Arabidopsis thaliana: one gene and its partners. The protein of the gene in region 1 interacts with the protein of each later gene in a pairwise test. Each region holds a gene or a part of one and is shown on either strand. Other genes may lie near its edges.

Region 1 (2,734 bases):
TAATTCTCAACTTAATTTTGTGCCATAATCTTTGATTAAATGAAATATGTAGGAGCAAAGACGAAGTTATAGTAAACGAGCAGAGTGGTTATCTAATGCGCACGAAGATCGCATCATCAGATGAAGGCGGCGTTGCAGCTGGTTTTGGAGTCTTGGACAGCATATATCTGATTTGAGATGGATAACATTCACAACCATCTTGATCAGTTTTTCTTCTGGTTTATTCCTTCTTCTTCTCTTCTTGCTTGTTAAAGATTTGTGTATTAATCATGAAGATCAATAAGACTAGGCAAAGCTCTTTACAATTCTTTCCACAGGACCGCAAAGCCTACATTGCTTATTGTTATTTTTAGACCGTGTGAGATGATTACTCGTTTATAAAGATCATGAATTGAATAAGATAAGATCAATCATGGAATTTGGGGTATAAAGATTATTACCATAGCAACATATTTAGACCATAGGCACATATATGTACATACACAAATAAATGTTATGAATCAACGAATGTCTGAAATTCCGATGCCTCTCCGTTTTGAGGGAAAGATAGCAAAGAAGAAGCTTGCCATTGTCAACACCATAACAGCAAAGTACTTGATCATAAGTACAAAATGACCACCCCAACTGTTTTCATCGTCCTCCGGGAGCAAACACCTCCGAAAATCCGAGCTCTCTACGGCTAACGCTAAGAACACGATAACCGACACGAAAGCATGCACGAAATCTACAAAACTGAGCTTATATCTCTCTCTCTTATCAGCCGTTAAGCCGGACTCTGGATCATAACCTTCGTCTGGATAGTCGTTGAGGATGTGGAGACCGTTAGAGGTGGCAATTCCGTAGTAAATGCGGCCATCTTGGCCTACATATGAGTCGGTGAAGGAGGAGAAGAAGCAAGCCGCGGCGCAAAAGGAGATGAGAGTAATGGTGAGGAGTTTATTGACGGGTTTGTTGTTGCACTCGCCGCCATTGGAGAAAGACGGTAGTAGGGTTTCGAATATGAGGGCGGTCCCGGTCGGCAATAGGTTGGCGAAGTTTCCGGCAGACGGTAGCGATCTAATGAACGACGCCTCCATTTCGTAATTTGATCGGAAGTGAGGAAAGTTTGTATGTTATGTGGAGAAAGAGTGTTTTGTATGTTCTTCTATACGTAATGCATGCATGCGTGAGGATATGTTTGATGCGTCTTTATATACATTTCTTAAAGATGTCGAGTTTTATTTGGTGTCCGAATATGTAATATATATTTAGTTTTGTTACTATATATTTCCACATTTTGTCAAAAGAAAATAAAGAACTATAGATATACACATTTGGATAACCCTTTTTTGTTAGAAGTTAGTTTATATATTGGAACTTAGTTTGTGGTTTATAACTTTGGCTAGTCGTTAATGAAATTATGGTGCATCAAGATATTAAGTGGAGGTACGCTCTTATTTCGTGTTTAGATCTTAAAGTGTCAAAATACTTTTATGAAAGTGCTATTTTTTACAAAATTCGATTCGTTATTTTTGCATGGCCATAAACAAGTTGGGACACGATTTTTTTACGTGTTCACACACACATGCATTATTTGATTAATCAAATCTGCCAGGGAAAGAAAAAACAAATCTTAGGAAAAAAAAAACATAATATTTGAGCTAAAACGTAAATAATTGGAGATGTGCATGTTCTATGAAATTGAGTCCATTAAGCGATATCTTGCACGGTTGTACCTAACTCATTTTGGTGACTCGGTCTTACAAAAATACGTCAATTTTTATAACACAAAATACATGTAACGTCTAATGGTCTTTCATTTAAAATATATATCTTGTATTCTTGTTTTATATAAATAATATGACGAAATGAAAATATGTATGAAAATGTAAGATGTTACTAACCTTGCACACATAAAGATCGAACCGTTTCTCATTAAGCGAACCGTAAAATTTTCATCTGATGAAATTTCATGAAGATCCTTTACAAAAAAAAAAAAAAAAAAATCCAGTTGCGAGATGCATCTATACTATTAATTGGAAATCATTGAAAATAAACAACCTTATGAAGGGTAAAATATTACATAGAATGCCATTGATTGTTAGTGTTTTTAAATAAATTTATTAAGAATACAATAGTAATCACAAAATTAATATATTTAAATATAAAAATTGGTAATATTCTTTTAAGTAATTATTAGTTTCCCAAAATTAAACTCACTTTCTCTTTCCTATTAATTATAGACGAAAAAATAAAATATATTTCTTAAAATTTGTTAACCAATAAAAATTGAAAAACTTAGATTTGATATCAAATTATACAATATTATTAAACTAACATTTTGGAAGTTAAGTTTTATTTTAAAATTTTAAAAAATCATAAGACTTGCTTGATATCATGAATAAAAAAATCATAATTTGTGATAGATAAATAAATTCAATTTAGAATTTTGGGTTAAGTATTTTGAAATATAAAACGAAAATTTATTTTAAAATTTTTAAAAACGAGATAAGATGTTACAAATATTAATATTTACTATGAATTAAACTAAAATAATTAATTTAAAATAATTATCATTATGCCTTACATTTAGAAATATCTAAACAATAAATTTTACATACTAATTTTGAAATATTTTGGATTTTCTTTTTTCTATTTTTCAACCGGATCTTTTTTCAAATAAATCTATAATATATTAGTGCACAAACTTTTGAAATAATATAAACTAATTATACATTTTTCATTCAGAACAAAT
Region 2 (3,703 bases), on another chromosome or scaffold:
CAGTCGTTAGATTCAGTTTCATCACCACAAAGGTAAAGAGAATCGCGAGTATGAAACTCACGATTAGAGCTCTGAACGTGAGCTGTTTTTGCCACGGCGGTGGGATTTCGTTACTCTCTTCGAAGATTCTCTCCACGGAGATTTCTTCTTCTTCGTTGGATTTAGATCCATTGTTTAGATCGTCGTCTTTCTTCGATCGTTCGACTTCCATAGCTGAGAGTTTTTGATTTGATTTGAGTCAGATCTGAGGAGGGGAACGAGAGAGGGAGAGATTTTATAGAGGAGAGGATCTGAAGAGAAGAGATCGGCGAGAGAAGAGGACGATTTTCTTGTAACTGAATGATTCTCTCTATTGTGTGAGTGAGAGAGAGAAGCGAATCTGTTTTAATATTTCTATATTTATAAGTCAAATGTGTTTTTTTTATAAATAATTAACCTACGTGCACGTGGACTATGGTGTGGTGTGTATACACAGTGTAAAATCTGAGTTTTTTCTTTGGTGTGGATTTAGAGTTAATTAAATTGATACGTAAATGGATTTTGGAATTTAGATTATGACATGTTTACGTGTTAAACGAGCCAATTATGACGGGTCGTAGATTGTATTAATCTTAACAGAATTAAGTTTTAGTTGCAAATGTGTTTTTTTGAAAAGAATTAAAATATTAAAATGAAAATACACGTAAATATTGTTTGAACATTTGATTTCAGAACAATAGTCGTTTATATAGTGAGTTGTTCTTCAAATTACTTTTAATTTCGGAGTACTTAACTATTAACCAATATTTTTTATAATTAAAGATTACAAGGGAATTTTACTTTTTCTACCACAATTTTCCCAAAAAAAAAATATTTCTATCGCTTTTCAATAGTACCAAATTATTTATGTGGAAAGACCAAAAAAAATAAAAACTATGTGTCCAAACGTTTACACCGATTTGACATTTTCATTTTTATGTTCTCTCACTACATTGTTAAAGACTCTAAACGTGAGCTGGCTTTGCCACGAAGGATGATCCTCATGGGCTCATGGCTGGCCTCAAAGATTCTATCATGTCATGTCGTGGCATTTGAGATCGTCATTTTTTTCCTTTATCGCTCTGTGACCGCTGCTAAATTTAAGTCTAACCTAGCTCTTTGTTTACAAGAAAGGAGAGGATTATTTTAAATAAGAGAAAAGTTGGAATATTCGAAAGTGTCGTGCTCTTATTCTATGGTACGAGACTATGAGTGACTAGATAGAATTTTCATTTAGATTCTCTAACCATAATAATTAGGTAAAAAAATCTTAGCTATTAATATTGACTAATAAATATAAAATGTGAAAGTTTGACTATACTATATTAATAAACAAATGGTTAACTTGATATTGACCATGAATGCATCATTAACTTGCTTAGAATAACAAAAATCTTATGAATTTATAACTACTAGAAGTTTGATTATATGCGAGGTGGGTTCAGACTATTCACATATTACACAAACTATTTGTGGTATTAGAACTTGTATAACTTGGACAAAATTCATATCAATTAACAATTAACCTATTGAAAATTAGATAAATAGAGAAATAAATCTATTGTTTGCTTATGTGAGTATAAATAATGAGATTTAGACTTAAAATAGTTAAGTCAAAATTAAATAATATTTTGGCACCTTTTATAAGAAAAGAAGATAAAAGGGACCTATATGATCAAATACAAAAGTAGAGGGGTTATTTCATAATAACACGTATCTTAGAAAATCTTTTTAATCTTCTTCGTTCACCGAATCTTCTTGGGTTAGGTTTGTCTTCAAAATCGTCAGAAGAAGAAGAAGAAGTCAAAGACGATAACAATGACGTCATCATCGTACCTCCGATTTGCGATCGCCGTCGTAGCTTTCCTCTCAATCACCACCATCACCACCGCACGTCCTTGCAAAACCTTCCTAATCTCCTCATATTCCCTCTCAATAACCCCAGAAAACCCTAACCTCGAATCCGATTTCACCTCCACACGATTCGTCACCGTTTTCACAATCCGTCGTCTAAATCCTCACCACGTGGTTCCTTTCTTCGTCAATCGTCGTCACGAGAAGCCACAGATCCAATCGGATCGTTCCCTCCCTTTGATCTCTGATAACATCAATTCGTTTAGAGATCGAACCAGAGATATTCTTAGCGTCGTCGTCGCGCTTTTGTTCGGTGTTGGTTGTGGTGCTTTAACCGCTGCTACTATGTATCTTGTTTGGGCTCTTGTTGTGAATCGTCAAAGCTATGATTTTGAGGAAGAAGAAGATGATTATGAGAATGATGAATCTGATGCTGCTAGCTTGAAGAAATTGGGTTATGTTAAGATTCCAGCTCCAGCTCCTGCTCCTGTGAAGGAAGCTGCTTGATTTGAGGTTGTGAATTTCAGTTTCTGCATATTATCATGATTTACGTTGTTGCTTATCTATGTTGTTGCGTACAAGTAAATTCGTCTCTGTTATGGATTTATCTAAACTTACTATACTCTAAGTATCAGTGTTTTTACGATTTGTAGTTGATGTTTCTTAGATATATATAAGTGTGATTATGATGTTACCTATGGATTTATTCATTATCTTTGATACCAATGTGACTAGTTTAGGAGCTTAATACTTAAATGGATTGATCATCAAAGGAACCAAGGTCGTGACTCGAGAAGTCTGTTTCTTGTTTTCTTTCTGACTTGCTAGAACCTAACTTGGTCGCAGGATATGTGTATGGTTCTCATAGCCCCATTTTGTGGTTTAATAGCTTTCATTCTTTCAAGCACTGATTAGCTAGAACCTAAGTAGGTCGCAGGATATGTGTCTGATTCTCGTTAACCAATCTGTGTTTTGAACAGCCTTCAAGCATTGGGAGTGTCTAGTTTTCTATTGCTTATGGTCATATGTGTGTATGGTTCTCATTGCCCCATTTTGTTGTTTAATAGCTTTCAAGCATTGCATACTTAAGGTAGTGTCTAGTTTCGGTTCCGTTTCTTGTAATCTTACTGACTAGCTAGTAGCTAGACTTTTTAAGTAGGTAGCAGGATATGGGGATGACTCTGGTTGACCCCAATCTGAGTTTTGCATAGCTTTCAGAGCATTGAGAGTGTCTAGGTTCTATTGCTTATGGTCATCTGTATATATGGTTCTTATTGCCCCATTTTGTGGTTTAATAGCTTTCAAGCATTGTGAACTTTAGGCAGTGTCTAGTTTCTGTTCTGTTTCTTGTTATATTTCTGACTACCTAGTAGGTAGACCCTTTTAAGTAGGTCGCAGGATATGTGGATGATTCTCATTGATACTAATTTCTGATTTGCATAGCTTTCAAAGCATTGAGAGTCTCTAGTTTCTATTGCTAATGGTCATCGTTGTGTATGTATATAGCTTAAAGGTTGATGTCTTGGATGCAGAGGAACAATTAAGTGCCTTATTCTCTCTAGTCTAGTAGTTATTTGCCTTGTAACAATCCTTTGTTATGTTACTATTTGATTTGAGGTTGTTTTATGTATGTAAAATCCAGTACCTAATTGTCTTGGTAATAGAATCTATAGATGTCTCAAAATCGGTCCGATTTTCGATTGTCAACACAAATGGTGCAAGATTTTGCTTTCTACATATATACTCTTTTCTTAAAAAACTACCTCAAAAGAACCTAATTGTCTTGGTACTCTTTTCTTAAAAAACTACATATATATTCAAAAAAACTACC
Region 3 (3,633 bases), on another chromosome or scaffold:
ACAATGGATTCAGCATCTGAGTTAACACAACTCGTTTTAAATAGTTGATAAAATAAGAACTGAAAAACAACCATTCCACTATAGTTATGGATTCTGATCCAGGTTGTGAGATGATGAAAAAGGGTTCTTGTAGACTTGTACAAACTTGCTATGAGAATGTCTTTGTCAAAAGTCTCTCTATCTGTCTTTTATGCATCCTAAACCATGGGAGAGATAATCAAAGCCTTTTATATTATTTCATCTACATATTATTTCACTTCTTCTGTCTCAGACTCTTATTGGTCTCCTCTCCTGTAATGAAAGCCTTTCAATTTCTTACATTTTGTACCAATCTCTCATCCTGGTTTTGCTTCAGACCATGAGAAAAATGAAATCATGAAACTATTAATCATTCTTTATTTATATAAATAGTTGTATAATTCTGCATCAAGAAAACAAGTTTTACAAATGAAATATTAATCTCTTACCCTGAAACCTTATGTAATGACAATAGACAAAACCTCCCTTTGTTTAAGGATTTCTTTCTTCAATTAAAGAAACGTTTATTACATAAAAGTGGAAGAAGAAGAAACATGTTTGGAATTAGAAGAAGGCATGAAAGCAAGAACCATAAGCAAAACCATAATCCCAATAGGAATCAAAAGCAGCATAAAAGGAGGAGGAGGCAATGGTGGAAGAATCAACGGTAAGATCAAGAGAGATGCTGTGAGACCAACAAGCACAACCATTGATTCTAAACTGAAGTAACTCGCTGATATTAGCCTCCTTGGACTGTTCTGCGACGACAATGTCCGAAACAATTCTTGCTTCCCCATAATCGGAGCTGGAGCTGAACCACGAAAACTCGTGTTTTTCCGGTTATGATCTCCTCTCACGTCCATGTTGTTGTTGAGAGAATAATGTTCTTGAATGTTTATGATGTCGTTTTGTAGACTGGAGAACTCACGAATCATTTAAAGAAGGCTTTTTCTCTTTTCGAAGTTTGATCTGGAAAATCAGATCGATGTATGAAGAAGAAACTTGAGTTTGTTTATCCAAACGCATAAAAAGTAACGAACTTTTCTTCTTCTTCTTCTTCTGTAAATGTAGTTTGGTTGAAGAACCCTGACGATGAAATGATTATCCCGAAATGCAGACAAAATCTAAGGTTTAGAACGAGTGATCTTGGCGTTTCCAGACCTAAAAGGACTAATCTTTTTTTTTTGCCGGTAGAGAGAAAAGATTCAATTGGTGTTTCAAGAAAGCTGCAAGAGAAAATTTGTCCAAGTTTTGATCAGTAAATCGTTGTGATTCAATCAAAAACATGAGCAGAGAATGAATCAAAAGAATCGAAAGTAAGTACCTTTAAACCGTTAGAGCCAAACACACCTTCAGCGAGAAGAAGATGAAGATTGAACGTTGGAAACCAAAAACAGGGTGTTAAAGCTTAAATACAGAGGAAGACGAAGAAAGTTTCTTTTGGTAAGAAAACCAGAGAAGAAGAAATAAAGTGGGAGTGGTTTTGATAAAAGGAATTGGTATAAAAATAGATGGTAAAAGATAATGAGAGAAATAAATATAATGTTTTTGGGGTTAAGACTGTGGAATCAGAGAAGAAACAGGAAACAGAGGAAGGTTCACTGAATTTACAGATTTTTCTAAAATGATAAGATTTTAATTTTAATGTTTTTTTTCTCTTTTGGGGGTGACAAGTGTGAGAGGCAAGTTGCTGCTTATTCTGGAAGGTCTGAACAAAATTGAAATCTCTCTATTTGATTACTTTACACTTCTCTCTCTCTTTCCACAATCACAGTGGTTCTTCTCCCCTAGACACTTTCTCTGATGATGACGTGGGATGGAATTTATTTGGGGTAAGCCTCTGTTTGAGATGGAGGTTTCAGTTTCTTTTGGAATATTCAATGGTGGTTTTTAATTAAAACGAATCCAAACTTTTATAACGTTGATCGTGTATTATTGTAGACTATAGTCAAAGTTGTTTGGTTGAAATAAATAAAGCAGTATCAGTCATTAATAATACTAGAAACAAATAATTAAAGATAAGATAAATATTTTAGGTTATCACAAATAATCTTTGTTCTATATGATAATGTTTTGTTTGTTTTATATAATCATTTAGAGTTGTAATCTATTGAAACTATGGACGGGGAAACGTACTAATTAAAGATTCGAATTCCTCGCGCACAAAAAATTGAATATGAGAAGTGATAGCAATAATCAATAGATTGAATTCGGTGAATTACCAAATTAGTTTGACAAATATATTCAACATTTATCACTTTTTTTTTGTCATAGAACTGTATAATATGTATATGTATATGTGTGTGAATTAATTAAATTTTCCAACCTAATAATAATGTTGTCTATGTGTTATCGACCGATGATGACCCATATTGTTATTCCTCTCGGCATTTCATGTGGTGGCTATATCATATTATCGTTTTTAGTGGGACAGTTGGTCCAATATTTATTTCTCTTTCGTTTTATGCTTTTAATAGTCAGAAGAAATGCCAACTTAAATTTATATAATTAGGGAATTTTGTATTTTACATGATACATAAAGGATACATAAGTGGTCTTATTATTATTATTATTATTTATTTTAAAAAGGGCTAGGTGTTGTTTAGTATGATTTAAACAAAAAAGTGATATAGTATTAAATATCGTACTATATTAAAAATGCTATTTGTTAAAAATACAAGACAGCTTATTATTTTTAAAAACACATAAAATAATATATTAAGATTTTTTTTTTTTCATTCATTATCTTTCAGGTAAACCGATATAATTTATTTGTTTAACAGCCTAAAAATGTAATAATTAAAATATCTAATGGATATATTCATAAGTACTTTTCGTTGGGTGTTTAATTAAGAGGGACATGATAATTTTCGCAAGCAGTTTAGTTTCAGCCGTTCTGGTATTAACCAATTGACAGCTTACCAAAATCCACTACTCATTTTTTATTTTTTTTTCAATCCAAAATACTTATTTATCCAAATTCAATGAATCGCATGTATAACATCTATTGATTACGTCTTTTCTACTTTTTTTTACAAAGGAGAAATGGTTTTATTCGTCAACTACTAGCTAAACTCCCAATGGAAATGACATTACTATTCTACAATTATAATGGCTCAAGTAGACATAATTACAACAAAACTTCACCTCCCGCTTTAAACAAAAACAAAACTTAATTAACGTCAATAAAAAGATGATGCAGACTTTTAAATTGTTAGAACAAAGTTTAACAACTATATATAACTGATCAGTTATATAAATAGCATATACACCATAGTGATATCTTCCCGATCTTAAAAGATATTCAAATTATCTTGTGGATATGTACTTGATTCGATATCTTTGATTTTTTGTATTCATGATCTTATGGTTAGGATCGATGCCACCAGTTCCTATGTAAACAAATAGATAATATGTAGGTAAATAACATTGCTTATACCAATCTAAATGTCAGTTAAGAATATATTGATACATATGTTTATAATGCCTTACAGATTTATAGAAAACCCATATTTGATTATAGTGATATATATAAGAACGTATACAGAGAGCGCAATCTCTTATCCAAATCAGAAAAAGATTTCAATTCGTAGCCAAAACCAAGAAAGATATAAG

What was found. The genes of interacting proteins can lie anywhere in the genome.
Region 2: the proteins of AT5G27370 (region 1) and AT1G65720 interact in a protein complementation assay, tested with the Arabidopsis thaliana proteins (one large-scale study listed by BioGRID).
Region 3: the proteins of AT5G27370 (region 1) and ARL interact in a protein complementation assay, tested with the Arabidopsis thaliana proteins (one large-scale study listed by BioGRID).

What each region holds. Positions count from the first base shown.
Region 1 is NC_003076.8:9,665,653-9,668,386, reverse strand, and holds AT5G27370 (inactive Serine/Threonine-kinase, putative (DUF679)), read right to left. Parts: upstream 1,077-2,734; coding exon 501-1,076; downstream 1-500. Other genes in the region: GSH2 (glutathione synthetase 2), read left to right, coding at 53-176. UniProt on the Arabidopsis thaliana protein: Involved in membrane remodeling.
Region 2 is NC_003070.9:24,439,147-24,442,849, reverse strand, and holds AT1G65720 (uncharacterized protein), read left to right. Parts: upstream 1-1,776; 5' UTR 1,777-1,836; coding exon 1,837-2,379; 3' UTR 2,380-3,198; downstream 3,199-3,703. Other genes in the region: YSL7 (YELLOW STRIPE like 7), read right to left, coding at 1-211.
Region 3 is NC_003071.7:18,235,046-18,238,678, reverse strand, and holds ARL (ARGOS-like protein), read right to left. Parts: upstream 1,891-3,633; 5' UTR 1,343-1,890; intron 1,245-1,342; 5' UTR 954-1,244; coding exon 546-953; 3' UTR 506-545; downstream 1-505. UniProt on the Arabidopsis thaliana protein: Promotes cell expansion-dependent organ growth, probably via a brassinosteroids signaling pathway. Acts downstream of BRI1.